3 linked regions of the Cricetulus griseus genome follow. The protein of the gene in region 1 purifies or fractionates together with the protein of each later gene. This does not show direct contact. Links are inferred from orthologs where the notes say so. Each region holds a gene or a part of one and is shown on either strand. Other genes may lie near its edges.

Region 1 (9,676 bases):
TCCCTTTCTTTTTTTTTTCTTTGACAGGATCTTGCTGTTTAGCTCTGGCTAGCCTAGAACTTGCTATGTGGATCCTGGCTAATGTCAAACTTGGGACAGTCCTCCTACCTGTCTCCCAAGTGCTCAGGTTACAGGTGTGCACCACCACACCACAACCAGCAGTATCTTCATGTCTTCTCCTCTTTTTTTCTCATTTATTTTATGGCTCTCAACTGTTGTTGTGAAGTCTGCCTAACATCATGACCAAAAGCAGATGGAAAGTTACTTCATTCACACTTACATATCATAGACGAGGCAGGAAACTAGATTCAGAAACTGAAACAGAGGCCATAAAGGAGTGCTCACACCTTTAAACCCAGCACTTGGGAGGCAGAGGCAGACAGATCTTTGTGAGTTTGAGGCCAGCCTGGTCTACAGAGCTAGTTCCAGGACAGCTAGGGGTACACAGAGAAACCCTATCTCGGAAGAAAAAAAAAAAAACTTAAACAAACAAACAAACAAAAACTGATTGCTTGCCCCTCCTGATTTGCTCAGCCTGTTTTCTTATAGAACCCAGCATCACCTGCCCAGGGTTGGTACTGCCCACAGTGAGCTGGGCCCTCCTACATCAGTCATTTAAAACAAACAAACAAACAAACAAAAGCAGCAGCAACAACCCAACAGGCTTACTCAATTCTGATGGGAGCATTTTCTCTGTTGGGATCCCTTCTTAGGTGACCCTGTTGTGTCAAATTGACTGCAGAACACTACACACACACACACACACACACACACACACACACACACACACACACACACACACACACACACACACACACTTTGCTTTTGTTGCTTGCTTAAACCTGTTCACTGACTTGGAGGAATTTGACATCTTTGCTGTTTAGTTTTCTAGTCCATGAACACTTACTTATTTAGGTCTTCATCAGCTTTCCAACTTATGAATTCTTCATGTTTTGTTAGATTTCTCTCATAATTTTCCTTTTCATTTCTGAGTTATCATAAATATGTTTGCTATACTGGGTATTGAACTCAGGTTCTTGCACATACTAGGCGAGTACTCTACTACTTTCAGACTGGGTTTTTCTAAGTCGTCTAGGCAAGCCACAGACTTGGAATGTCTTGTCTCAGTCTCCTGAGTAGCTGAGGATTACAAGTGTGCACTGCCACACCCCGATTTGTGTTTTTAATTTTGGTGCTCATGTATTCATTATTGGTGTGTAGAGATTTGGTTGGTTTTTGCAGATCTTATGTTCTCAAGTCTAGCTACATGCTGTGGTATGAACTTGTAGCACCATCTTCTTTGGAGGCTAAGGCCAGGGTGTGGTGGTGGTGGAGGGTGGTCTCAAAAAAATTAAACAGTCAACAAAGTTACTTTGTTTGGAGTATCCAAAGGGGAAGTTCAAGTCTGTATAGGCACCAGTCATTACTAACTTAAGTTTGAATTTCTTTTTCTTTATTTATATAGTAACTTAAGGCTTTAGTGCCACATTATTTCCAATGACTTTCCATTTCATATATATATATATATATATATATATATATATATATATATTTTGAGATATGATCTCATGGCATCCAAAGGTGACAGTAATTTTTCTGTGATCTTTTTGTCAGCCTCCTGAGTGCCAGGACTGTTGGTGTGAACCACCACTTCCATTTCTTAATCATATTTTTTAAACAGTATTAAGAGATGATTTGTTTGTTTTATGAATTCCTTGGCATCTTCTCTGCAGTCGTGAGTCTCCAAAAAAGATTAGTTTTATTTCTCCTTTCTGGTCTTCGTGCCCATTGTTCATACCCTTCCTCCCTCCCTCCATCCCTCCCTCTCTTCTCCCTCTCCTCTTCTTCCTCTCTGAATGGAGCATCCAGTGGTGAGAGGTTAGCCTTTCACTGTTGTTGATTTTCATTTGACAGTAAATAAATATCTATTCCCTTGCCTTTAAGCATGGCTTTAGTTGTTGGGTTTTTGTGCATGCTGTATCAAGCTGAGGAGTTTCTGTTTTTTCTGTAAATGTTTGTCATGAATGGATATTGAATTTTGCTAGATGCCTTTTTGGTACTAGTTCATGATTTTTTTAAGCTTGTTAATGTGGCAGATTTTATGGATGAATTTTAAGTATCAAATGAGGCTTGTATCACAGCAGATATCACTTGATCATAGAATATTGTCTCTTTATATACTGCTAATTATTTTTGTTAATATTTTACTAGTCATTTTTCTATATATAGTCCCAAAGTATACTGGCTGGTAGTTTCTTTTGAGGGGTGGCATTTTTAAATTACAAATTTATTTTGTTTTGTTAGTTATGTGGCTTTTCAAATACTCTTGTGTGTTGAGTATGTTGTGGTGATTTGTGTTTGGGAAGAACCGGTCTGATTCCTCTAAGAAATCAAATTTGCATGTATAGAGGTATTTGTGGTATTCCCTGTTATCCTTTTTATCCTGTGATATCTCCTCTCCATTGTCCTCTTTTTCCCTCCCTCAGTCTTTTCTTTCCTTCCTCATTCTAAACATACACCACTATCTTGGTCTAGAGTTTGTCACTTTTCTTTTTTCTGAAGGAGGAGAGGGCTTGTAGCCCAGGCTGTCTTTGAACTCCATATTTATTGGAGGATGACCTTGAACTTCTGATCTTCTTGCCTCTACTTCTGAGTTCTAGGTACCTGAGTTCTAGGATTACAGGCAGGTGTGTACTGCCATTATATGGTGCTGGTGATTGAACCCAAGACCTCTTGCATTCTACTGACTGAACTATATCTCCAGCTCCTGTTGAATTTATTATTTATTATTTATTTGTTTACTTAAGACAGGGTCTCTCTCTGTAGCCCTGCCTGTCCTAGAATCCATTATGTAAAGCAGGCTGGCCTCGAACTCAGAGATCTGCCTGCCTCTACCTCCTAAGTGCTGGGGTTTAAGGGTGCACCGCCACACACAGCTCCTATTGCTCTGTTTTAAAGCACCAATTTGTTTCATTTTTTTAAAATCTATTTTTCTTTAATTTCACTGATTTCTGCTATGTCAGTTTCTTCCTTATACAGGATGTTAGAGTTCTGATGTAAGGGTTTCCCTATTTTAATGTATGTTTAAGTAAATTTTCATTTTTACTTATTTCATTATGACATCTGATTCTCTTGAAGACTTCCTCTTTGACCTGTAGTCAGTTTTAGCTGATAGAAAATTCTAGATTTATGCAGTCCCATTGGTTTTTACTCTGTATTCCCATTGGCTATAGCACATATGGCAAATGGCATGTATGGTAGGAGAGGAACACAAGGTAAACTGTGAAGGCAAAAGGATATATGTACCAGGGCTACTTGGCAGCTCATTGAGAACCCATTAAAACAACATTAATCTCTTCCAAGGACTGCACATCTGACATAATCACCTTCCATTAGGCCCCAACTCTTAATCACTTGGCAAAAATAAAACTCAACAAATTTGACTGAACTCAATCACACAGTGATTGAACAACAGAATCAAACTGGAAATCAGTAGCTGAAAGTGTGTGTCAAAGTACTTTGTCTTTTAAGGGTTCAAAGAGGTTTAGTTTATAATATGAAAGTACTAAAAGGTAATGGAACCTTAAGATTTATCTTCCTATCTGTTTCCTGGCGCATGTTAATGATATTTGGGGGCAGAGGATTCTATAAATGTTAATTTGTTTCCTCTTGGTTGACCATGTTGTTTAGGTCTTTTTTGCCTGCCTGATAAGTCAAGGCTCTTCCTCATTAATTGGGCTTCTGGTGAGATTGCAGTGTCCCATAATTGCCGCTGCAGGTGTTGGTCTCCTACTTGGATTTTTCTGTGGGCCCGACCATGAATTACTTCCTGTGCTGTTTGACTGGAGTAAAATAGTTATTGTTTATAATTTTCTGTATTGCCAAGTAGGCCCCCTTTTTTTGGGGGGGGGGGATGATTATTTGGAGAACACAAGTTGATGTTACTGGTTGGTAGATATTGATATATCTGTTTCACCAGTCTTCACCTTCACAAATAAGACCCAAAGTTGACCACTGTATCTTTCTTTGGGTCCTGAGATCTGTAGCTATTTTCTCTTCACTTTTCAGGTATCTGTTTGTTTGTACTGAAGATTGAACCCAGGCTAGGCAAGTATTCTACCACTGAACTACATCCTTAGTGCTTCCACTTTTCAGTTTTCTTGTCTGTTTTATTGTATTATTGCTATTGGTGGATATTGGAGTCTCTAGGACTCTGCTACGGTTTCCAGGTTCTTGAATTCCAGAACAAGAAATTTAACCTGGGACATTTGGATGGCTGTAGAAACAGAGGCAGTTTATTAAGAAATAGCACTTCTTGACAAGGAAGTAAGTCAGAGGTCTGGAGAAGATGTTAGACTGTCAGTGGTGCTGGGGCCTGGCAGATTGGGCAGTTTGTACATACACCTGTTCTGCACATGGCTGGTTAAGTGTTAGCTTTGGTGGAGAGATGGGTTTCCAGTCTCCTCCAGCCGACTTCTTTAACATGCTACTTTGAGTGTCCCACTTCTGCCCTGCTCTTCTGACACAGTGTTTAGGAATTTCATTGTACTTAACAGAAGGATAACTTCCTCAAAAATAAAAGTCCTGTCTAGTTAGAAATCTGGGACTATTTTTCCCAATAGGACAGTTATCCTGGTATCAGTTATTTCATTAAATAACTTAATTTGAAGAGATTTACAGTGCTACTTCTTATACAAAAGCCTTATATATTTGAATGCTTTTATACAATAAAAGTTGCTTAGCTAACTTGCCTGGTTAAGCCCCTCCATTTCTGTTAAAGAAGCATATAACTAGATATCCTTGGTACAGTTCTGTTCCTGTGAATTAAGTTGAATGTGCTTACTGAGAAAGTTTCTTTCAAGAATATGTATTGTTAAACTTTATTATATAAACAAATAGTGCTTAAAGAAAGTTGTTTTTTGAAAACTAATTTGATACTTTAGAAAAATTTATCAAAGAAAGTTACTAAAAATTACTTGCTTTTGAATTGGTCTGTGTAAAATGTTTGGGAGAAGAAGGAATAAAAATATAAACAGAAATCACTTCAATATTTAGATCACAAGTAAGTTCAAATACTCCACTTTTTAAAAGCCTAAACTAGAACTCACTTGTGTGTGGGGGAGTTCTAAAGCTTAACTGTATGTATCTGTGTATTTATTGTATCGATTTGTATGTTTCTGTTGCAGTATTATATATTCTTAAATTACTTAAGCATTTTTTAAGTACATTGTAACTATCTAGTAGGGTAACTTTACCTATAGTGTGGCCTTCTAACTGAAAATAACAGTAAATGGATGACCCAAATTGTCTGAGACAGTGAACAATCTTCTCATTACTAACTCAAAGACCTGGAGGGTCAGAGGGTTGCTTGTGTCATATTTTATCAATTCTGGCTCTTTCCCCAAGGAACTGTCTTCCTACTTTGTGTCAGTTTCATCCTCCAGCTGGTAAAACGGCTACAGTTGTTCACATCTCATTCCTGGTTTGCCTATGAAAAAAAATAAATCCTGAAACAATTTAATGTTTTTCAAGAGCCATACCTTTTCTCTGAAGGCTCTTTTCCTTGCATTTAATTGGTCTTAAAAGTTCAATTTGCTTGTATTTTTTTCTTTTAAAATGATGTATATAAACAAATTATATTTTATTTTTTCATACAGTTTCATCATTGTATTTCATTATTTTCAGATTTATTTATAGTTTGTGTTACCATTCCCTTAGATTGTTTGCAGGATAAGGTTGTGCTTCCTGATATTTGGATGTACTTTTTCTTTGTTTTATTGATTGATGTAGCCCGAATTGTCACTTTAATTAGAAGGGGACGACTAGAGATTACCCCTGAGTGCTAAGCACTCTTCTACCACTGGGTTATAATTGGTAGCCCCAATTTTAACTAAACATCTCCTTCATAATTTTTTTTCTAGTAACGTGAAAGTTTTAAATAATTTTTTAAGCCAGATTACAGAGTAATGGGCTTCATTATTCCATTTTCTTTTTTGTTTGTTTGGTTGGTTTTGGTTTTTTTTATTTTTGAAACAGGTTGAACTCAGAGCCGTGCATATGCTAGGCATATACTCTACTGCTGAACTACATACAGCGTCAGCCTCTGTCTCTTGTTTTGTGTATTGGTTTTGAGATAGGGTCTTAAGGTCAGTCTAGCTTCAAACAGTATGTAGCCAAGGCTGGCCTCAAACTTGTGAAGGTCCTCTTGCCTCACCCTTTTGAGTGTTTGGATTATACACATGGTTCATAATATCTGTGTTTTTAAATATTTAAGCATATCTGTTTGGAAAAGCATGTAGACAATTACTACTTCAGCAACATGTAAAAACATTTTCTATGTGTTACAGTACTGAAGCTGCTGAAAGATGGCTGAAGAAGTGGTGGTAGTAGCCAAATTTGACTATGTGGCACAGCAAGAGCAAGAGCTGGATATCAAAAAGAATGAGAGATTGTGGCTTTTGGACGATTCTAAATCCTGGTGGCGAGTTCGAAATTCCATGAATAAAACAGGTTTTGTCCCTTCTAACTATGTGGAAAGAAAAAACAGTGCTCGGAAAGCATCTATTGTTAAGAACCTGAAGGATACCTTGGGTAAGTTGTAAGTTGTTTCACATTGAAGGAAAAACACCTGCTTTCATTTTAGATAGCTTCTGGAGCTTAGTTCTTTGAACACAATCCTTACAGCAGTGTACAAAGTTGGCTGGGAAAGGCCAGAACAGTCATGTTAGCTAGGTATGTAAGTTGAGTTCCTAACAGCTGATTAAGAGGCTAGTGAAGATCATGTTAACAGTTCTATAAATCTAGGCCCACATTCAAATGGCACTAATGAGCAGAACTAACTTTGACCTTCTCGAAACAGCTTCTTGAGTATTAAATACCTCATGGAGTTTTGATTTACAGAAAATTTGCCCCAATTGAAAAGTTTGTGAGATGCAGAATTGTTTCCTTGGACATCCTGGTAATTTATTTTACATGGCACATTAGTGAACTTTTGACATGTAGTGAACACATGTCACTTTAAAAGGCAAATCTTTTTATTTTCTTCTATCTGAAAAGAGTTTTACACCAGTCGGTCATTGCTGTATACTTGTATCTATAGGACCCGTCATTTCCTATTTTATTGTCATTACCTTTCTTCCTCTGTTTATCTTTGTTTTAAATTTTTACTGGCCTTTATTAGGGCCAGAGATAGGGGAACCTACTTCACCCTGACCCTGGTTAAACTAAAGGAAGGAAGTGTGTAGGATGAAGACTGACCTCCTCCCTTTTCTTAATTTAACTTTCCTTAATGGACAGGAAGGAATTGGGAGGAACAGACATTTAATTTTGGTGTTCAAGGAGACATGCTATTGCTTAATAGTTCTTTGCTTATTTGTAAAAAGGGGGAAATGTTTTCTTGAAGACAGTTTGGGGCAAGCATGACTGATATTATTATTAAATAGTATTTAAAATTCTTAATGCACAATTGATATTCTGGTATTTTAATAATTATTGTCAATATAGAGTAAATGTTTATATCTTTAACTCTTGTAAGCTGTGAAAGATAAAATGTAGTACAATTCAAGCAATTTTGTGAAGCATTGGACTTTGAGTTCCTACATGAAGACATTTCTGGTGTACTTGATATTTTAATATCTGCAGCCAGTGTGGCATTTGACCAGTTGACTTTTTGTCTTTTTTGGGAACCTCTATTAACTTTACTTAATTATTACAGTTGTGGCTGTGTGCATTCCCCAAAGTTTGGGAATGCTACCTTAAATTAGTGGTCTTTGATGAAAATAATGTTGGGAATCTAGATTTTGTATCAAATATCTGAACCCCCCTCTTTTCCCAGAATATCTGCACCCCATTTTGGTACCTTAAATCCCATGTAATTTAGTGAATTTGTTTCATAGTGCCTGTGCTAGTGGAGACATTGTCTGGAAATTAAGGAAAAGGAGGAGTTATAGGAAAGGAAGAACTCAGGAGGCAGAGGCAGGTGGATCTCTGTGAGTTTGAGGCCAGCCTGGTCTCCAGAGCCAAGTGCAGCCAGGACAGGCTTCAAAGCCACAGAGAAAAACAAACAAACAAACAAAAAAAACCAAAACAACAAAAAATGTACTAGCTTTAATATTTTCTTTGAAAATTATTGAATTATAACTCATGTGTTCCTGCCACCAGGAGTTACTTGTTCTACAGGTTATTTTATGGTTTAAGGAGAAACAGTATTGGAAAGAGAAGCCTTGGTTTTGAAAACTGTTTCTATTGCTTGGGTGTGGGCCAGGTCACATGGATTGGGTGTGGGAAGTTTCAGGGTTACAGAGCAGACCAGGAAGCTCACTGAAATTATCCCGGAGCTGTGTCAACAAACTCCGAAAAGAGAGCACAATTTTTATTCAAAATGGATTGGTTAAAGGTCTTTAAAGGCTTTTTCAGTAAGTTATTCTGTTATTTAAGTCCATCATTGTTACATGTTTTGAATTGGATTTTTCCTTTCGTGAATTAAGAGGGAAACTATATGTTGAGAACTCAGTGTGTTTATATAAGCTGGTACTTTATGCTGTTTATGTAACAAGGTAAATGATTGGTAGTCTTTTCAATGCTATTCGATCTGATAAATAATTTTAAAGCGTTTTATCATGAGAATGCTTAATAAATAGGGAGAGGATATGCATGCTATGGATGTGATGTAGATAGCTGTAGTTTAGTAACTCCAGAATCTAGGCATTTGAAGTCAGTTGTGAACAAATTCTTTTACTCTTGACCTTTGAAATAAAAGTTTTTTTTAAAACTAGATTTTACTTAAGCTTTGTTGGATTAATGTCAAGAATATTTAATGAGAGTGATGATAAACTACAAGTACTGATTTGTAAGTATAATACTAAGCTACTTTGGGTCTGCTTGCGGCATGTTTATGATAATCATGTGCTGGATTGAATTTCTTTGAATATTTGCTAATTGTCTGTACAAAAATGAAGAAATTATTCTAGAAGTCTCTTACATACACACACACACACACACACACACACACACACACACACACACACACACACAAGAATCCTAAGGAAACAAAGTATAACCTAGTGAGAGATTCCAAGGGAAAGGGCAAAACAAAGGAGTAAGCGCTTTGTTGGAAGAGAATGTAGTCTTTGTAATTCATGGGCTCCTTTGTTTCCTTAGTTAGCTTTGATGGCAGTGATTTCTTCTGGGATATCTCGTCTAATTCCTATTTATCTTTTAGAAAGCAAATACATTTTTATATCTTTGAAGTTCCACTTTTAAAGCTAATATTTTTTTTAAGTGTGTGTGTGTGTGTGTGTGTGTGTGTGTGTACGTACACGTACACCTGTGAGCGTGTGGTTATATGTATATAGAGACGAAAGGATAACATGAGATGCCATCCTCAGGAACACCATCCACCTTTTTCCAAGGAGACAAGTTCTCTCTCATTGGTCTGGAGCTCATTAATTAGGCTACATTGGCTGGCCAGGAAGCAAGCCCCAGCTGTACTTCTGTCTCTGCCTCCTCAGCACTGGGATTATATGATTGAGTTACCATATTTGGCTTTTTTTTTTTTAAAAAAAAAAACAAAAAAAAAAACCCACTGGTTCTGGAGATCCAGCTGAGGTTCTTATACTTGTGAAGCAAGTGTATTACCAACTGAAGCTTCCCTTTAACTCTTCATTCATTAATTTAT
Region 2 (9,776 bases), on another chromosome or scaffold:
TTTTCTTCTTGTTGGTTTGCTTGGTTGGTTGTTGTTGGCTTTTTTTTTTTTTTTTTTTTTTTTTTTTTTTTTGAGATAGGGTCTTTTCATGTAGTGAGGCTGGTCTCAAACTCTCCATCCTCCTGTGTCAGCCTCTGAGTGTTGGATTGCATGCATGTACCACCATAGACAGCCAGAATGTGGAACTGAATTGTAGGGAGACATTGTAGCCCCGCCTCCTAGTAGCCCCTACAGAGGAGGTGGAAGATGACGTGGAGAGAATTCTTAAGAGGCCATGAACACATAGATGCCCCTTCTCTCTGGCCTCGCTAGCTTGCGGCCTCTGGGCACGCTCTGGCTCGCGTTTGGGCTGGTGTTTATCTGAATAAAGAAATCTTAGCATTACGGCCTACGGATCATCTTTGAGTGCACGCAATACTGAATGGCTAGAGAAGAGCCACTAGGAGTCACTCAGGAATTGGGCTTCATTCAGTATGGAGGGCTGCCCCTGCCCTATAGGACCAGTACAGGACAACAAGGGGGGACAGAAGTGTGGATGTTGAGCAGTTTCTGCCCTGGTACAGAGGACATTGCCATTGTTGTGCTCCCACCCCAGGGCGGGCAGAGAAGTGACCTAGTTAGTCTACTTCTCTCATCGTGGATTCAGCCACTCTCAGAACCATCAGTCATTACTTACAAGGTGACATTCCAGGGCATGTCCTTTGCCACTTCCTGTGATCAGCTTATATTTTTTTTTCTAGCCTGGACTCTGTGCATCCTCCTGCCTCAACCTCCTGAGTACTGACATTGTAGGGTTTGTTCATATTCTCTCATTTAATCTTTCCAGCAAACTCACAGAGCTGGCTGTGTCAGCTCTACTTTCTAGATGAAAATTTGAGAGCTTGGGAGACTTCTAGTTGTACCTGGAATTCTCCATATAGCTGAGGATGACCTTGAGCTCCTGATCCAACTGCTTCCACTCCCCAAGTGTTGGAATTATAGGCATAAACCATCATCTCTGGCTAGAGACAATTTTTCTTTTTTAAAACAGAAGCAACAAGAGGCCAAGTTGTCATCCTGGGTCTCAAATCCATTCTTTTGAACAGAAGCATTGGGTCTCCTGGGATGGTAAAATGATCAAAAGAATCTAGAGTGGTCAAAAGACCAGCCTAGCTGGGAGTTGGTGGTGCACGCCTTTAATCCCAGCACTCAGGAGGCAGAGGCAGGCAGACCTCCATGAGCTCGAGGATAGCCTGGTCTACAAGAGGTAGTTCCAGGACAGCCTCCAAATCCAGAGAAACCTGGTCTCAAAAAACAAAAACAATAAATAAATAAATAAATAAATAAATACCAGCCTAACCAGGATCTGTTGGGAGTGTAAGCAGGGGAGTGTAAGCAAGGAATTCAGGCAGTAACATCTGCAACCACCAGGTGTCACCACAGGGAATACTTTCTCAAGGTGCCTAGGAGTGGGAATAATTTGGCATAGAGCTTTACCCCAACTTGAGACAGGGTCTCACTGTGTAGCTCTGGCTGGCCTGGAACTCACAGAGATCTGCCTGCTTCTGCCTCTGTAGTGCTGGGATCAAAGGTATGGATTATCACGCCCATCTTCAATCTTATTTTCGAGATGGGGTCTCTCACAGAACCTGAAGCTCACTGATTTAGGAAGACTAGCTGGCTACCGTGGGATCCACTTGTGTTTGTCACCCCAGCTTTGGGGTTACTAGTGCACATCACACAGCTTTTACATCGGTGCTGCAGATCCAAACTTGGGTCTTTTTGCTTAGGCAACAAGCACTTTACCCATTCAGTCTTCTCCCCAACTCTATTGTCACCATCATCATCATCATTACTATTATTATTTGGCTTTTCCAGATGGGATTTCTCTGTGAAGCTTTGGAGGCTGTCCTGGCACTCTTTCTGTAGACCAGGGTGGTCTCGAACTCATAGAGATCCACCTGCCTCTGCCTCCCAAGTGCTGGAATTAGGCGTGTGCCACTGCTACCCAGCATATATATTTAAAAATAGGGTCTCTTAAGCTGGGTGGTGATGGCACACACATTTAATCATGGCACTCAGGAGGCAGAGGCAGGCAGATCTCTGTGACTTTGAGGCCAGCCTGGTCTGCATAGTGAGTTTCAGACCAGTCAGAGCTACATAGTGAGACCCTGCCTCCAAATAAATAAATTAATAAATACATAAATAATAAAACTACAATCATGGGGCTGGAGAGATGGCTCAGCAGTTATGAATACTTATCGCCCTTATGGAGGACACAGGTTCGATTCCTACCATCCAGATGGTGGCTTACAGCCATCTGCAACTCCAGTTCTACAGGATCCAATGCCGCCTTCTGACCTCCAAAGATACTAGGCCTTGTACTGCTCATAGGTGCAGGCAAAACACTCATACACATAAAAACGACTCATTCACAAAAAAGGAGGGTACAGAGTCACTGGTGTGAGCACTGACAGCACAAAATATGAAGACATGTCTGCTACTTTGTTAGGTAGGTGACTTGAACATAGATAGTTAAGCTTCATGTCTCTCATTTCCTTACCTGTAAAGTGGGAATACTATTACCTACTTGAGAAAACTGTGAGGATTAAACGTTATGACAATTACTGGTATATGGCAAATTGCAATAAATGTCAAAACTTACAGCGTGTGTGTGTGTGTGTGTGTGTGTGTGTGTGTGTGTGTGTGTGTGTGTGAGTGTTCTGCCTCCATGTACTCCTGCAGGCCAGAAGGGGGCACCAGATCTCATTACAGATGGTTGTGAGCCACCATGTGGTTGCTGGGAATTGAACTCAGGTCCTCTGGAAGAGCAGCCAGTGCCCTTAACCACTGAGCCATCTCTCTAGCCCCACAGTTTCTTTTTTAAGTATTTGTTTTTGACAATTTCATACATCTATATAATATACTGACCAGAATCACTCCTACCCCCTCTTTTATCCCCTTCTCCTCCCTCTGGAACTCTTCTGTTTGACATGTCACCTTCCTCCTTTCATGTCTTCTTGTTTGAGACAGGAGTCTCACTGTGTATCCCTGGCTGGGCCACTCCTCCTGGCCCTCAATTACTGTTTAAAACCTACTTTCTTTCTCCTTTAAGTTCTAGCTCTAACTACATCTGAATATTTATTATGGAAGGGAGAATCTGGAGAGATGGCTTGCTGGAAAGGCACTTGCCATCAAGTCTGCCAACTTGAGTTTGGTTCCAAGAATCCACAGGATGGGAGGAGAACCAGTTCCTGCAAATTGTCCTTTGACCCCACATGTGTCCTATGGTGTGCCTCCAGAATACACAATAAATAAAAATTTAACATATTGGCTGGGTGTGGTGGCACCTTTAATCCCAGCACTCTCACTGCAGACCTGAAAGTGGCAGTGGATCTCTGAGTTCAAGGCCAGCCTGGAATACAGAGGGAGTTCCAGGACAGCCAGAGCTGCTACACAGAGAAACTCTGTCTCAAAAAAGAAAAAAAAAAATTCTTTCTGCTTTGAACAATTTTTTCCTGGCGTGCTTTCTTTTCCTTCCCACCCTGGCCTATTCCTACAGACTTCATGTAGAAAATGAGAGATAGCCTCTGGGTTTCTTTCTTCATAAAGATTATCAATATGTCCCCAAATGAGATGCCTCTGTATTCACCCTCATGGTTGCCCTTGGCATAGAGTGGTGTAGTAAGAGCAGGGGCTTACTTTAGCTCTACTGGGCACAGACTACCCTCTGGAGTACTGAAGCAAAGGCTAGAACAATGAAGATAGGACAATGATAACCCACTCAAAGGCCTTGAGGTGGGAACTTCATTGCATGTTTCAGGAGCTGAGAAGTAGGTCCACATACTGTTGAGCCACTAAGGATGAGATAGGTAAAATGATGAGGCAACCACCCTATTTTCATGGATCCTGACTGGCATGTGTTTCTTGCCTTTGCCGACTGGTAATGGAATTCTACTCATCTTTTTTCTTTTTCTTTTTGGTTTTCTGAGGCAAGGTTTCTCCAAGTAGCCATGGCTGTCCTGGATCTTGCTCTGTGGACCCGGCTGGCCTCCAACCCACAGAAATCCACCTGCCTCTGCCTCCTGAACGCCTCTACAACCTGGCAAAATTTTACTCATCGTTCGAGGACTACTTCAAACCATTTACAAAATCTTGTCTCATTCTTCAGCAAGAATTAATCATTCCTATGACATCCCAGCACACATGCCATCACAACTCATCACGTGCTGACTTGGATCTCAGCTAGCTGTTTACATGCCAGTCTGCGCACCAGCATGGTGAGGTCCCAGAGGGCAGAAGCTCAGTCTTAGTCACCTCTGGAACCACCTCCTGGTATCTAGCCTAGTGACTGGCTCACAGCAGGTATTCAATGTGACATTTACCGGACTAGTGGGTGGGGCCCAGCACTTAAGACAGAACAGAGGGAAAACAAAAATAATAACAGCTTATGACTTATCTATCACATGCTTTCCCATCAGTTACCCGATGAGCCTTCAAGGACTCTAATAGAAAAGGACAAACACTCTGAGGTAGCTGAGGCCCAAGAGCGCACAGCTAGTAAGTGGGGATTAAGCCCCCATACTGTTCTTTTACTTGAGTTTCAGCCCTGGTCATTGGGTTGACCTGAGGAGCAGAGAGGAAGCAATGGGGTTGCCTGGAGTGGTGACAAGCTTTTGTGTGTGAAGATATCCTTAGTCATTTGCAACAGAGTGAAGGCCAGCAATGGACAAGGATTCCTCCCTCTCATCCAGGCACCCAGAGTAGTTCACAACACCATCTCTCAGCCCGGTGAGATGGGGATCCCTCTGCTGGGGAGGATGTTCGGGTTCAGTGGTTAGAGTGACCTAACCGATGACATGTAAGCAGACGCTTGCCTCTCTGTTGCTATGACAACCGGAGCTTGTCTACCGGGCCCCTGCAAGGATAGCGGAGTCGTGTTCTTCCTTAACTCTAGACCATATAAGGGCTTATGGGGTGCGCGCGCGTGTGCGTGTGCGGATGTCTGCGTGTTCGCACGCGCAGCGGAATAAACACGAAAAAAAAAAAAAAAACCACAACCCATATTTAAGAAACAGCGGTTAGCTCAGTGATTCCCTATGACGACCGAAGGTTAAAAAGTCATCCGCGCAATTTTAAAGGTCTAGAGGCTCAGACTGCATTTGACCAATTCAAGAAGCATCTCGCGGGCTGAACGCTGGCACCACCGCTCATCGAGAGCCTCGCAGGCGGCCCCAACCGCAGCCCCCCAGGACGCAAACCCGGCTTTCAGCTGCGGAGCTCCTCTCGCGACCTTCTCAAGATGGAGGCGCTCCGCCCCCACGTGCGCCGGGAGAGGGCGGGCTTCTCCGGGCGCATGCGCCCCGCGCCTCTGGGCTCCCGGCTGCCTCCTCCTCTTTCCCCCGCCTCCATTTTGTTCGCGGACGCTGGGGACGGTGGGAGCAGATCCATTTCCGGGTTGGTAAAAGGGGCGGCGGCGAGAAAGAGAGCTTGGCGCGGGGCGAACGGGCAGGACTACAGCAGGACGCGGGTGGCGGAGGACTCGCTCCCGGAGCAGCCCCGGCCAGGTGGGAAAGACGCCGCGGCGGCTGAGCCCGCCGCTGAGGTGACCTGCCGACCTGAGTGGGAGGGAGAGCCGGGGAGGGGCGCTGGGGGGGGGACGCCGGGGAGGCCGGGGGGGGAGGCCCGAGGGGGCCTGGGGGCGGAGCCTGGAGACCCCGGGGAGGGGGCGTGGGCCGTCCGAGTGGAGGGCGGTGGCGTGCGGCCGGTGCCAATGGGCAGGAGGGAGGTTTCTGCGAGACAGGAAATTAGAGACCCTGAAGGGTTGGGTGAGGTGAGCAAGACGGCCACTCTGGGTGAGGAGGGAGGGGAACCGTGCGCAGAGGGGGAGATGGGGACGGGAGGGAGGACCTGTTGGGAAAGGTAATTATTAAACGCGGGATGCTCTGAGTGGAGGAGGCCGATGTGACATTTCGGAATTGATTTTAGGTGAAAAGGAATGGCTGGGAGGGAAGCTGTTTACGTTGGAGGAAATCTTGAGGGTGTTGGGTGGGAGAGAGGGAGTCGGAGAGGTGTCTCAGATGCGGTTGGAAGCACCTGAGTTGGAGGCTCCTGTAGGAGCCGTGTGCTATGAGGGACTATGGAAATCTGAAGGTGCTAAACGTAGGCTGCGTGTGCGGTTGAGTTGCTGACTGGGGATGGTTAGGAAGGCATATTCTGGAAGGAGAAGCTGAAGGAAGATGGTGGGTACTGGACTCGACCTTCCACCCCCTTGCTGGGGATTGAATCCTGGTCCCCCTGTATGCTGGGCAAGGCTCTGCCTCTGTGCTGCGCCCGAGCCCTGCAATTCTTTGATTTTTTTCTTTTTTCTTTTTCTTTTTTTTTTTCGAGACAGGGTTTCTCTGTGTAGCCCTGGGTGTTCTGGAACTCTGTAGACCAGGATGGCCTCGAACTCCCGAATGATGGGATTAAAGGCATGTGCCACCACCGCCCAGCCGGAACTCATATTTTTAAAGTGACTTGACTAGTACTAGGTTGATCACTTCCCGGGCCCACTCCTTTTTTTTCTTCTATTACTTTTGCTTTGGAGTTCTGTCTTCTGGCTTGTTAATTTTTTTTTTTTTTTAGCTACTCTTTTATCTTTTTATGAATCAGAAGAGAATTTTAGGGAATAAGAAGTCCTCTAGCTCCTGTATAGATTGATATGTAACTTTGAGACATCATTAAACTCTCATTCTCTTCCTCTGTAATATAGGCCTGACCCATCTGTTTCCCTAGAAGATTGAGTTAACTAATTTGATTTTTGAAGTCAGTGTAAAGAAAAACAGGATCGAGATACTGCTATTTAGTGGGGGTTTCTGGGGGGGGGCGGGGTTTCTTTGTGTTGCTTTGGCTGTACTGGAACTCACTCTGTAGACCAAGCTGGCCTTGAACTCACAGAAGCACCTGCCTCTGCCTCCTGAGTGCTGGGATTACAGATGTGTGCCACCACTGCCCAGCATCTCTATGTATTTTAATATATAACCTTTAGTCTTCTAACATCTTCCTATATCTTAATATTTTTAATAGTCGAGATTTTTGTGTTACTGGGTTGTTTATCACCAAGAGGAAGATATGGACATTAGAGTCGGAAGTGAATGAGTTCAGCTGTTAGTGACTCTGAGAATGCAGTGTTTTATTTTCTAAGTACCTGAGTATTTTAGAGAGGTGAGCTGTATGCATGCCTTGGTTCAGTCAGTATCTGTGGCCTTGTTGTCAGAGGGTAGAGACCATGCTTGTAGACAGTATTAGATGCTTTGTTGTCAGTCCTTTGGCATTCTGTTTTAGTTTTTTCTTTGGCTGTACTACCTTGAACACTTAGCTGGTAAGTGAACTCGTTCAGCCTAGAAGTGTTTCTGAGAGTCTTAGCATTTCTGAGTTCTGATGTGGATTCTCCAAAGACTTGGCAGTATGAATTCTGTCTCACTCTTGGTATCAGAAATGGTGTTTACATGGGGTGGTGCTGATTAGTGATGTGGACACAAGGGTGAGAGGCAGGAGGGGAAGGATATTGGGAAGAGTGTAGCTATAGAGGCTAAGAAAAGGGATCCTGATCTGTTGGAGGGAATACCATCACATGTTCTTGCTTGACTTTAGCCTTCTGAACTGCTTCCTGGCACACTTGTGTTTTTCCTGTTGCCCTCAAGTAATTCTGAAGTTCATGGACTGTTAGTTCAGGCTGTTGTAGCAAACCTTAGTCTTCATACCAACTCCAGGAGGAGCTGCAGGCATGAAGTATGTGCACATATTTGGAGATAAAAATCTGTGTAATTGTGTGCTGCTGGGGTTTGGTTTGTTTTCTGAGACAGGGTTTCTCTCTGTAGCCCTGGTTGTCCTAGAACTTGCTCTGCAGACCAGGCTGGCCGCAAACTCATAGAGATCCACCTGCCTCTGCCTTCCAAGGTAGGACTGAAGGAGAGTGCCACCTTCAACAAATTTTTTTGGTTTATTCTTAAAAGGGTTTTGCTATCACAGAAGCTCGGAGCTGCTACAGTGGCCTGTTTCTTTAGCACAATGATTTTCAGTTTTTCCTTTCCTGTCACATTTTCCCATTGCTCTGCTTCAACTAGTCCTAAACGGAAAGTGGCAAGTCACCCTCCCCCTTCTTCTGGTGGGCATCCTGTCTGTGTCACAGCTTGATGCCACCAAAATGAAAGGATTCTTGACTGCTTCAAATGCGGAGGGTGACAGAAGCTGAGCTGGGTTTCTTGAGCCAGAGAATGGACTCTGTCAAAGCAAAGAATAGTTGCAGAGACACCAACTGGGACCTTGAAGCTGTGACTAACATTTTGGCAACATGCATCCCTTTGCCAAACAACTTCTTTTCTTTAAGAGTGTGATTGTTGATCTCTTTCTCAAAGTAAGCTCTTGTTAACTGTATTTCACACAGCTCCCAAGTAGAGGCTGGCAGAGTTCTGGTTGATTGACTGTCTCAGAATATATGCTTTGGATCAGAGCGCATGGGGCTTTCCAAGTCAAAATGAAGTCCACTGGTAGATCTGGAGAACTGCTCTGCAAGGAAGAGGCAGCACTCTTCACTGAATGTTTGGGCAATTGTTCTAAATTTCAAATCTAATTCTTATTTATGTGGTGATCAAATACAGAATCATTGCATTTGCCTAACTTACAAGGCCAGGGCATTGAGGAAGACAGCATCTCAAGCTTTCCTGTGTTCTTGCTCCCTAGTCTTGGAGCTGGAAGAACCTCATAGACTAAAGTTTGGAACATGTCAGCCTTTGCTTTCCTTTCACCAGTGTTTGGGATTGAATTTAGGGCTTCATGAGTGCTAGGCAAGTGCTCTACCACTGAACTACACCTCCAGGCCCAGCAAGTGTTTACTGGCCTTATCTATGGCAAGATATTGAAAATGTTGCCAGGTGGTGATGTTGCACTCCTTCAATCCCAGGACTCAGAGACAGACGAATCTCTGAGTTGGAGGCCAGCCTGAGCCAGCACAGCCAGGACTACACAGAGAAACCCTGTCTTGAAAAACAAAAACAACAGCAGCAACAAAGACATTGAGAAATGTGAAACATAAGACAGATGTGGCTCATGCCTGTAGTTCCAGCACTTGGGAGGCTAAGGATGACTGCAAATTCAAGGACAGCCTGGGCTATAGAGTAAGACCATGTCTTAGAACCCAAAGGGGATGAAATGTAAAGAACTTAATGATGTTGTTAGAGGGGGAAAAAAAAACTGTTGGTAGGCATATTAATATCTAAGTCATTTTTTATTTTTATTTATTTATTTATTTTGTTTTTCGAGACAGGGTTTCTCTGTGTAGCTTTGGAGCCTATCCTGGCACTTGCTCTGGAGACCAGGCTGGCCTCGAACTCACAGAGATCCACCTGCCTCTGCCTCTCAAGTGCTGGGATTGAAGGCGTGCACCACCAACACCCGGCCTCTAAGTCAGTTTTTAATAACTTAGGAGTTTTGGCTTGGCATGCAGAGAGATTCTGTGGAGGCACACAGGCTATCAGATAACTGAGCCAGGGCTTGGCTACCTGGCTTTCAGGCTATCCGACTATTCTACGGGGAGGTTAGGTAGTTGAAGATGCCGCTCTCTCTGATGATCTTGGGGTGGTCTATGAAAATGTTTTCTTGACTGTATGGCAGTAGCCCCATAATGTTAGAGGTAACCCCAAAATGAATTTTCCTTTTGACTTTGAATCCAGACTTTTCTTCACATCATTAGTCTAGAGTGTTTTTTTTTTTTTTTTTTGAGACAGGGTTTCTCTGTGGCTTTGGAGCCTATCCTG
Region 3 (9,776 bases), on another chromosome or scaffold:
TTTCTTACTAAGCCTATTTTTAGCTTTGTAAGAAATTGCCAAGTTGTCTTCTAAAATGATTACCATTTTGTATTTCATCAGCAATGAGAGTTCCTGCTGTTTCACATCATCTTCAGCATTGTTGTTAATCAGTATTTGGGACTTTAGCATTTTCTTAGGTTAATTAGGAATTAATAGTAGTGTCACATCATTGTTTAAATTTGCAGTTCTCCAATGGCTTACTATGTTGAGTATCTTTTTGTATGATTATTGTCTTTGGCAAGTCTTTTGCCTCTACCTGCTTTTTTTTTCTTTTGATTTATTTAATGTGTATGAGTGCTCTATCTGCATGTATACCTTTATGGCAGAAGAGGTCATCAGATTTATTATAGATGGCTGTGAACCACCACGTGGTTGGTGTGAATTGAACTCAGGACCTCTGGAAGAGCAGCCAGTGTTCTTAACCACTGAGCTATCTCTACCTGCTTTTAAAGATAGGGTCTTATCATGTAGCCTAAGTTATGCTGGAACTCATGGTCTACCTGCTTCAGCTTTCTAAGTACTCTACCAGTATGCTAATAACCCCAGCCATTTTGTTCTTGTTTATTATTTATTTATTCATCTTCCTACCTGCCTGCCTGTTTGTTTGTTTTATTGGTGTGGTATGCACATGTAATGGCATGCATGTAAAAGTCAGAGGACAGTTTTGTGGAGTCAGTTCTCTTTTCCTTGTCAGATTTATGCAGCCCATGTTTTTACCCACTGAGCTATCTCATTGGTCCTAAAATATTGCCAGTGCAACTGCAGCTCTATAGTTGGTGGATCTCCACCTAACTCATCCCCCCCCCCCCCCCCCCCCCCCCCCCCCGAGATCGAACCTAGGACCTAGGATCTTGTGCATTTCAGTCAAGTGTTCTACTATGGAGCTACAGTCCCCAGCTGCTTCCCCCATTTTTAAAAAAACTGGGTTGTTCTCTCTCTCTCTCTCTCTCTCTCTCTCTCTCTCTCTCTCTCTCTCTTTTCTTTTTTCCTGAGACAGGGTTTCTTTGTATTGTTTTGGAGCCTGTCCTGGAATTCGATCTGTAGACCAGGTTGGCCTCGAATTCACAGAGATCCGCCTGCCTCTGCCTCCCGAGTGCTGGGATTAAAGGCGTGCACCATCAACTCCTGGCTGGGTTGTTTTCTTATTGCTAAATTTTAAGAATTCTTTGTGTATTTGGGGTACAAATCCTTTATGTACTTCACATATGTACATAAAGCACATTATGTACATACACTGTGTAAATATATGTATCTGCATCTTGTCTTTTCATTTTTTTTTTGTCTCTTGAAGAACAGTTTTATGTTTTAATCAAGTTCAGCTTACCTAGTTTTTCTTAAATGGATTGTGTCTTTAATAATGCATCTAAAAAGAACCATTGCTAAATCAAGATCATCAAGTGTTGTGGAATATTATTTTAAGATATGTTCCATTGTTTATGCTGTGAAATATTTGTTTAATGATACAAAGATGTGTTACATTCTTTTATGTTATATTTGTAACTTTATAAAACTGTGTTACTTTGTCTGCCTAAACCACCTGATTGGTCTAATAAAGAGTTTAATGGTCAATAGCTAGGCATTAGACAAATAGGTAGGGCTGGCAGGCAGAGAGAATAATAAATAGGAGGAGAAATCTAGGGAGGAGAGGAGGTCAGCCATCCAGACACACAACCAGCCACGGAGTAAGAAGGAAAGAAAGATATATAGAATATAGAAAGATAAAAAGCCCAGAGGCAAAATATAATTAAAGAGAAACAGAATAATTTAAGTTAGAAAAGCTGTCTAGAAACAAGCCAAGCTAAGACCAGGCATTCATAAATAAGAATAAGTCTCTGTGTATTTTATTTTGGGTGGTGGGCCCCCAAAGAGTTAAAAAACAACAACAAAACTACAATCAAGATTTTCTCCTGTATTATACTATAGACATTTTATAGTCTTGAATTTAGATCTATGACCCATTTTGAATTGTGTGTGAAAACTATAAAGACTGTGTCTAGATTCTTTCCTTCTTTTTCTCTCCTTTTCTGTCATTCATTTTGTAATTAGAATGGACAGAGTATGAAGGTAAATGACCATCTTAAAACCACTTTAAGCTTAAGTAGTGGTTACATTAATGTAATTCCAGCACTTAGGAGGCTGAGACAGAGTTATCAGTTCAGGGTCCTCCTAGGGTCCATAAATGAGTTCCAAACCAGCCTGGTTGATACATTATTTCACAAAAGTAAACCAAATTAAACAAACAAACAAAAAATGTAACAACAACAAAGAGATCATAAGTGGGGGTGGGGGTCAGATCTCCTGGAACTGGAGTTACAGATGATTGTGGGCCACCTTGTAGGTGCCAAGGACTGATCTCTATCAGAGCAACAAGTGCTCAACACTACTGAACCATTTCTACAGTACCTAAAAAGTTTTATTGCATTTATTTATTTGTGTATGTAGTGTATCATATGTCATGATATACATGTGGAGATCAGAGGAAAACATGGGAAAGAGATACTTGTGTTTAACCTGTGTCCCAAGGATTGAACTCTGTGAAAAGTTTCTGCACCCTGATAAGCCTCTCCACCAGTATAGCAATCCAGATTAGACCAAATCAAACCAAACTAGAAAAAGCCCAGATTTAATGGATACAATTCTCCTGGTTGGTTTTCCAGTCCCCCAGGGAGGAGACAGAAAAGAGAGACCGGGAAACAATGTTTTCTGGTGTACAGTGTAAATACCCTGTGGGAGTGGTCTTGAACATCTCTGGGGGAGGGGTCATCATTTGATGGGTTTTCTGAGATGGGGCAGTTTGGAGAGGTGGGGGAGGGGGTTTTCCACCAAAACATTCCAGATCCTTTGGGTATATGGATGCCAGGGACTGGGGTGAAGCTTCCATCAGAACACGCAGGTCATCAGTCTTGGCAGCAAGTGCCTTTACCCACTGATCCACTTTACTGGTCCCAATTGTTTATTTTATTTTAGGTTTTTGAGACAGGATTTCTTTGTAGCTTTGGAGCCTGTTCTGGAATCACTCTGTAGATCAGTCTGGCCTCGAACTTACAGAGATCTGCCTGTCTTTGTCTCCTGAGTGCTGGGATTAGAGGTATGCACCACCACTGCCCAGCCCCATTTTTTTTTTTTTTTTAATGTAGAAATTCCTATCTCCTCAAATACTGCACATACTCAAGATTTGGAAAGGGTGAATAATGGAAGAGCTGAATTTTTTCTGTTTACAGTTCTTTCTCTGCAATTAGATGAATTTGGGCACACTGAATGGAAGTGCAAACATTTGTCAGGGAAGATGGCTGAATATTTAGTGAGTTGGGTTTCATGCTGGTCTAGTGGATACTCTATGCTAGTCAGTAAAGACTGGGCTACTGGAGTTAGTATGAAGATGACCAACAATGATCTGTTATAAACAAAACAGATAAATGAGAGGACTAAAAAGAAACAGGCTTAGGAACCAGACCGTGGTATATAGATGATTGTGTTGTTTACTGGATGTGTGATGCTGGGGAAGTCACCGTATTTTCTTATCCATTGCTTCCTGTCTTATACCTGGTCTGCTGTGTTACTTTCAAGCAGTATCTTCAGAATGTGTTACTTCTTTTCATCTTAGATATTATAATAAATTAGTACTATCTTCTTCTTTCTGTTGCCTATAGCTCTAAGAGATTCTGTTAATGTGCTCTTGCCCTCACTCTCTCCCACTGACCAGGGGTCTTTTAAAAATGTCAGCTTTTGTCATTTTGTTTTTTCAGAGCACTTCCATTGCTGAAACTTGGAGCAAAATCTAAAGTTATGAGCAGGTGAGATGGCTCAGTGAGTAAAGGCACTTGCCACCAAGCCTGACAACCCAAGATTGATCCCTGGGACCCATATGGTAGAGGAGAAAACTGATTCCCATGAGTTATCCTCCAATCTTATTACAAGAGATGTAAATAATTTAAAACATCCAAACTCATTAATTGTGACCTGGAAGAGATAATCTGCATAACTTGACTCCAGTCATAAACCTCAAAGGCAAGGGATGAGTTGGATGAGTGGAGCCAGTGGTGAGAGATACTGTCTCCTGTGGAGCACTTGGAAATATGTGAAGGTACTTTTTTTTTTTTTTTTAAATCATTGTAGTCCTTTAGGGGTACCTTTTATTGGGAGGGGACAGTCCAGAGTTGGTTCTTTAATATGTTGTCCAGGTCTAGTTCTGTCATAGTGACTAGTATCTAGCAGGTCCTTAAGAAATTCGGAGATCATATTCTTCTAGGACCTCAATTCTGACACCTGTGAATTGATGTAGTGCTTACTCCATAAGGCTTGTAAAGTACTGGGACACATACAATAAATAGCTCTTAACAAATGGTAGCTATTGCTGAGCTTTGTTCAAAGGAGAGGATGGTATAAGGGAAACTTTTTGAGAGTCAATATTAAGAGATCTCCCCCTCTCCATCCTAGTGTGAAAGAACCTTCAATCTGATTTGAGGAGGTCTAGGAAAGACTCCTCAATACCAGGCTGCAGAACTAAGGCACAGAGGATCTCCGGTTTTCTTCTTGATCCTGGGGCTCAAGGGGACTTTGGTAGCTCTAGACAGCCTGCCTAGCACCTCTTGTTGGAGCCTGAGTTGGTAGAACAGCAGAGACAACCAGAATGGTGGGGATGTAGCTGCTTCCCGCCCCTCAGCGCCTCTTCAGAAAGGAGAGGGCGGGGAGAGCGCTCCCCGCCCCCTTCCCCTCCCTTTCTCTGTTCCTCCCTCCCTCCCCGCCCCTTCACTGAACCACTCTGTCTTTGCTGCCGCCCTGAGAGGGCCAGAGTGTGCTGCTCCTCTGGAGCTGTGTGGCTGTTCTGCTGTACCCAGCCGAATCCAGCCTGTCAGGCTGGTTCAGCCCTGGCTTTGTCGCAACTGCTGAGCAGGGAGAGGTGCGGCGCTGCGACAGATACACAAGATCATCAGAGATGCTGGGCCCCGCACTCCCTGCCAGGTAATGCCGGCCTTTCCTGGGCCTGGCACAGCTAGGCTGAGCTAGGGTAGGACGAGGGGGAGTCTTGCTGCTTTGTGGGGTAGAATGGAAGAGCATTACATTCCACTTACCTTAAGGGACTCTTAATGAGGGAAGGGCCTCAGGGTGGAACCTTGAAATAAGCCCACTCAGGGCTAGGCCTTTGCTGGAATTAGAGATCTGGCTAGAAAAGGTTAGAAGGGGAAGCTGGATTTTTGGGGAACTATGAGGCCCCCCCCCCTGCCCTCCTTTGTAAGCATGCTTCTGCTTAGTGGCCTGGGTGATGCCTTTCTGTGCCTTGGTTTAGCTGAAGGTTTACTAGGATCAAAGGTACTGCTCCCTGGTAGGAGATGCAGTGAAGAAGGAGACCCCTGGTGCTGTTCCTGTTTAGGCAGCCTCTGTGAGCCTCAGTTTCCTTATTTGTAGAGAAGGGTATACAATGTTTGTAACTGGGTTTCCTAGGCTGTCAGGTTACCTTGGAAAGGTGAGCTAGATACAGACTAGAGGAGCCAGCCTTCTGTGTGTATTTTGCTGGTCTGATTAGAACCAGTGACTTCAGGGCAAGACAGGTTGAAAATGCTGATTCTCTCTTAGGGGCCAGTGTAGGTATGTTGCTGTAGGGCAGTGGGGGTTGAGAAGAAACAGGTGAAAGTATGTTAATATTTTTCCCTGAACTGGCCAATTCTTTGATACTTAGGCCACTGCTATAAACTAGGCTGTCTTCTGAGGAGCACTGTTATTGATCTACTAAGTAAATTGCAGACCTTGAGATTGTATAATGCCTTAATCACTGTAATTCCTTCCTTTATTATTTGGCACCAAGAAATACAAATATTAATGTACCTTGATTATTTTGGGCTTGCTTTCTAATCTCAGTTTCAAAAAAGCTGTGTATTTCTTCTGACAAGCCTTCCTTTCCTTCCTCCTCCTCCTGGTCATTTTTTCCTTGCCTGCCCCCTCACCTGTTCTCCTACCTCACCATTTTTCTTCCTTCCTTTCCTTGTATTCATGCTTTCCACTTCTTGTCTCTTCCCCTCTATAACCAGTTGTTTTTGTTTTCTGTTTTTTCTTTTCTCCCCTGCATCCTCTCCCTCTTGGTTAGGCTTTCTTTTCTTTTTCTTTTAGAATTTTTGATTGTACTTTCTCAGTGGTAGTAGGTTGCTGGTTTGTAGGGACCTTTGTTGTGATGTTTGTAAGGTCCAAACATTCTAGCTCTCTTGTTTTCACTTAAACTCTATTTTCTTTAAATGCCAGGCTCTCTCCTGATTGCCCTCGGACTGTGTTTTGGTGCCTCCCAGTAAGCAATCATTCTTCCTGGTTTAATTCTCCATCTTTTTCCTTGCGCCAAGGCATAACATGGGCAGTAGGGAAAAGGCACAATAGAAAGTCAATAGTTTGAAGGCTGGAGCTGGAGAACAAGTACAAATACAGCTAGGTAAGAGAGTCTGTCATTTAGATGAGGAGCTGGGAGATAGCCAGTTATCAGTTGGCACCCCCGAGGTACTGCTGACTTGAAGGAAAGGTTGACCTGTGTGTGTGTGTGTGTGTGTGTGTGTGTGTGTGTGTGTGTGTGTGTGTGTGTAGGGGGGAGGCACAGAGACAGGATAGCAGAGTAGGAGGAAGAGGAGAAGGTGGAATCTTGGGGCAAGAGAGTGTTCTTTTGAAGGGGCTTTGAAATGGAGATAGGTATCATTTGGGGTTAAGGGTGATTGTGGAGGGAAGCATAGGATGTGTAACGGGACCATATAGGTTAATTCCTCTTCTGACTTAGGGCTCTTTGGAGTGGCTTATTTTGCTCTGTAATTGTTTTTCCTTGGGCAGTATCCTAAAGTACTAAAGTAAGAGGGGAAACAGAAATGAGAATGACAGGGTTATTGTTTCATTGACACCATCTAGAATATGCAGTGTGTGTGTGTGTGTGTGTGTGTGTACATATACAAAAGATTTCAGTGGGGCATCCATCCATTATTAATTGTTCTTTCTGGCTGGTGAGATGGTTCAGCAGGTAAGGGCACTTGCCACCAAGCATGATGACCTGAGTTCTATTCCCAGGTCTGGTATGGTGGAAGAAAAGACCAACTCCTACAAGTTACCTAGATACATGAACCATGGCATGCACTCGCCACTACCCTAGTACATACATGCATAAATAAATAGATGTAATTTAAAAAGAAATTTTTTTCAGTCATCAACATCATGTTAGTTATGGTGCTCATTGCTAGGTAAAAAAGTAGGAGTCAGATTCATTTGCTGCCTTCAGTTGCAGGTTAAAGGTGTGGGTGGATCCTCATGTGAGCAGTGTAGAGGGAAGCACAGGGAGCTATGATGATGCAGTGTCAGAGACTAAGGTTCAACAAATCAGTGGCAGGGCTGGATTATAAACTCGTCTTCTTTAATGGTGCTATGAGTTTGCTTTGACCATGTTATCCCCTGACAACATGTCCATGTTGTGAATAAAGAATTTTCTTGTTTTTTCTGTCTTTGGGACTAGAGTATAGATAGTACTGAGACAGAAACAAATTAACATGTGGAAGGAAACAGACTTTGTCCCTGTTCATTTCTGGCTCCAGGCCTTTAAGTGACTCACTGCTGTGCACCCTTTTTGAGTTATTTGATCCCGTTCTCCCCCTTTTCTTCCCTGCTTTCTTAAATTCAATTTCTGGCACAAGATAGAGTTCAAAGACCAGATAGGCTAGGTGTTTACGTCACTGACTTCTGTAAAAACAGAAGTATAACACCCTGTAGAGTTGATGAGGATCTAGTGAAGCAATGAATGTATGAAAACACTTTGTATAGTGATGTCCCCGTATTATTTTTATTGTTCTTAGATGCATTCTTAAAACACTGAGAAAATGCTCAGATGCTGTAGCCCAGAAGCCTAAGGATGACACTGAGTAATCTAAAGTTTGAGTCTTATTCTTGGTGAATACAAGAAAAGAAGGAATAGATAGAAAAGGTTTTCAGGATTGATAGTTGAACTCCATGCTCAAAGTGGAGGCCAACTTTTGTAATCAAGTGCTTTATTCAGGTCAGAGAGATGGTAGGAAGCCAGTATGAAAGATTATATTTTTAGTGACTCTTTATGATAAACAAAGTCTTTACTTTAGTAATTACTGGTTACTTGCTTGTTAATCTAAGTTTCATATATAAAATGAAAAAATAATTTATATTAACACTGAAGAGTTTATTATAAAGCTCAAAAGTAATTTTATAAAAAAATAAAAAATACAAGGCTGGAGAGATGGCTCAGTGTGATTAAGCACCTTAGCTGATCTTCCAGAGAATCAATTCCCAGCTCTCACATGGCAGCTCACAACTGTCTGTAACTCCAGTTCCAGGGGATCTGGCATCTTCATGCAGACATACATGCAGGCAAAACCATCAACGCACATAAAAATAAATAAAATTTTAAAAATAAAAATTACAGTTGGTAAGAGTTATTCTTACTCTGCAAAAATAAACTCTAAAGCCACCTCTTAAAGTCTTCCTTGACTGTTAGGGCCTCTCTTCTGGATTTATGCAGCACCTCTTTGCACTTGGTACTTGCTGTTATATGTGGATTTTGTATCCTCTCCTCCCACTAGGCTGTGCATTCTTTTGAGGGTAGAGTCAGAGTCTAGTGCATCTAAAATCAGCTAAGTGCCTGTGTAGTTACTGTGTATATGTTAGTTAGCATAACATATTTGTTACTACTGTTTATTAAGGAGGTACAATAAATGAATAATTAAAATTTGTGATAACTGTGATAACCAGAGTAACTTTTGGTCATGTTAAGTTTAATAGTCTGTGAGACAATTGTATCTGTAACTCTTAGCAGTACCTGCAACTTAACAGAAGTGTAGGTAGAATTGATTGCCAGATAAAGTTATTAATCTGAAAGAGAGCTGTTTGGTTAAATGCAAAACTTGGGTGTCATGAACAATAAAGGTGTTATGTAAGGCCTTTGGGCTGGGTGAGTTCATCTTTGGGAGAGTGTTTTGTAGTAAGGGTCTGAGTCTTGGATGTGTGTAAGATTAGAGGGGAGAAGAGAAGGCAGAAAGATAGAAGGGAAAGAGAATCTAAGAAATAGGGTATTTAAAAGAGAAGTGAGGTTAATATATTGATTGCTGATGAGGAATTCAACAAGGTAAGGACAGAAAAATGACCATTTGATTTTTCAAGATGGGAATGATTGGCAATCCTGACAAGAATACTTTTGGTGAAATAGGAAGAATGCCACTTGGCATAGAAGGGAAGGTAGTCCTTTACATATTAATAGATAATTCTCTTGAGAAGCTCTGCTTCTGAGGGCAAGCAAAGACATAAGTGGTATTTGGAAGAGGATGTTGGTGTCAGAAGAGAGTGTGTGCCCACATGTAGGATACTGTATAGTGTTTGTATATTATTCCAATATTTCTTGGATCAGATAAAAAGAATCATTTAGATGTGTTTTTTGAATTTCCTTCTTCTTTGCTATTTATTCTACACCCTTTGGCTCTACCTTTAAGATAAATTTACCTGGGCTGGAGAGATGCTCAGCAGTTAAGAGCATTGGCTGCTCTTCTAGAGGTCGAGGACCTGAATTCAATTCCCAGCAACCAAGTGGTGGCTCACAACCATCTGTAATGAGATCTGGTGCCCTCTTCTGGCCTGCAGGGATACATGCAGATAGAACACTGTATATATGATAAGTAAATAAATCTTAAAAACATAAAGATACATTTACCCATGAAATTCTGTCTACATGCTGCTAGTCTTCTATGTAGCTGTGAGTTCTTAACCTTGATTTTTGTAAC

What was found.
Region 2: the proteins of Nck1 (region 1) and Wipf2 purify together in Homo sapiens (co-immunoprecipitation; 3 studies listed by BioGRID and IntAct, with this or other methods). This does not show direct contact. The link is inferred for Cricetulus griseus from reciprocal best matches to the Homo sapiens genes NCK1 and WIPF2.
Region 3: the proteins of Nck1 (region 1) and Pak1 purify together in Homo sapiens (affinity purification with western blotting; 8 studies listed by BioGRID and IntAct, with this or other methods). This does not show direct contact. The link is inferred for Cricetulus griseus from reciprocal best matches to the Homo sapiens genes NCK1 and PAK1.

What each region holds. Positions count from the first base shown.
Region 1 is NC_048597.1:208,845,395-208,855,070, reverse strand, and holds part of Nck1 (cytoplasmic protein NCK1), read left to right. Parts: intron 1-4,068; 5' UTR 4,069-4,107; intron 4,108-6,347; 5' UTR 6,348-6,365; coding exon 6,366-6,591; intron 6,592-9,676. UniProt on the Homo sapiens protein: Adapter protein which associates with tyrosine-phosphorylated growth factor receptors, such as KDR and PDGFRB, or their cellular substrates. Maintains low levels of EIF2S1 phosphorylation by promoting its dephosphorylation by PP1.
Region 2 is NC_048600.1:111,942,526-111,952,301, forward strand, and holds the start of Wipf2 (WAS/WASL-interacting protein family member 2), read left to right. Parts: upstream 1-5,409; 5' UTR 5,410-5,546; intron 5,547-5,713; exon of another isoform or gene 5,714-5,812; intron 5,813-9,776. UniProt on the Homo sapiens protein: Plays an active role in the formation of cell surface protrusions downstream of activated PDGFB receptors. Plays an important role in actin-microspike formation through cooperation with WASL.
Region 3 is NC_048596.1:101,660,888-101,670,663, reverse strand, and holds the start of Pak1 (serine/threonine-protein kinase PAK 1), read left to right. Parts: upstream 1-3,866; 5' UTR 3,867-4,036; coding exon 4,037-4,105; intron 4,106-9,776. UniProt on the Homo sapiens protein: Protein kinase involved in intracellular signaling pathways downstream of integrins and receptor-type kinases that plays an important role in cytoskeleton dynamics, in cell adhesion, migration, proliferation, apoptosis, mitosis, and in vesicle-mediated transport processes.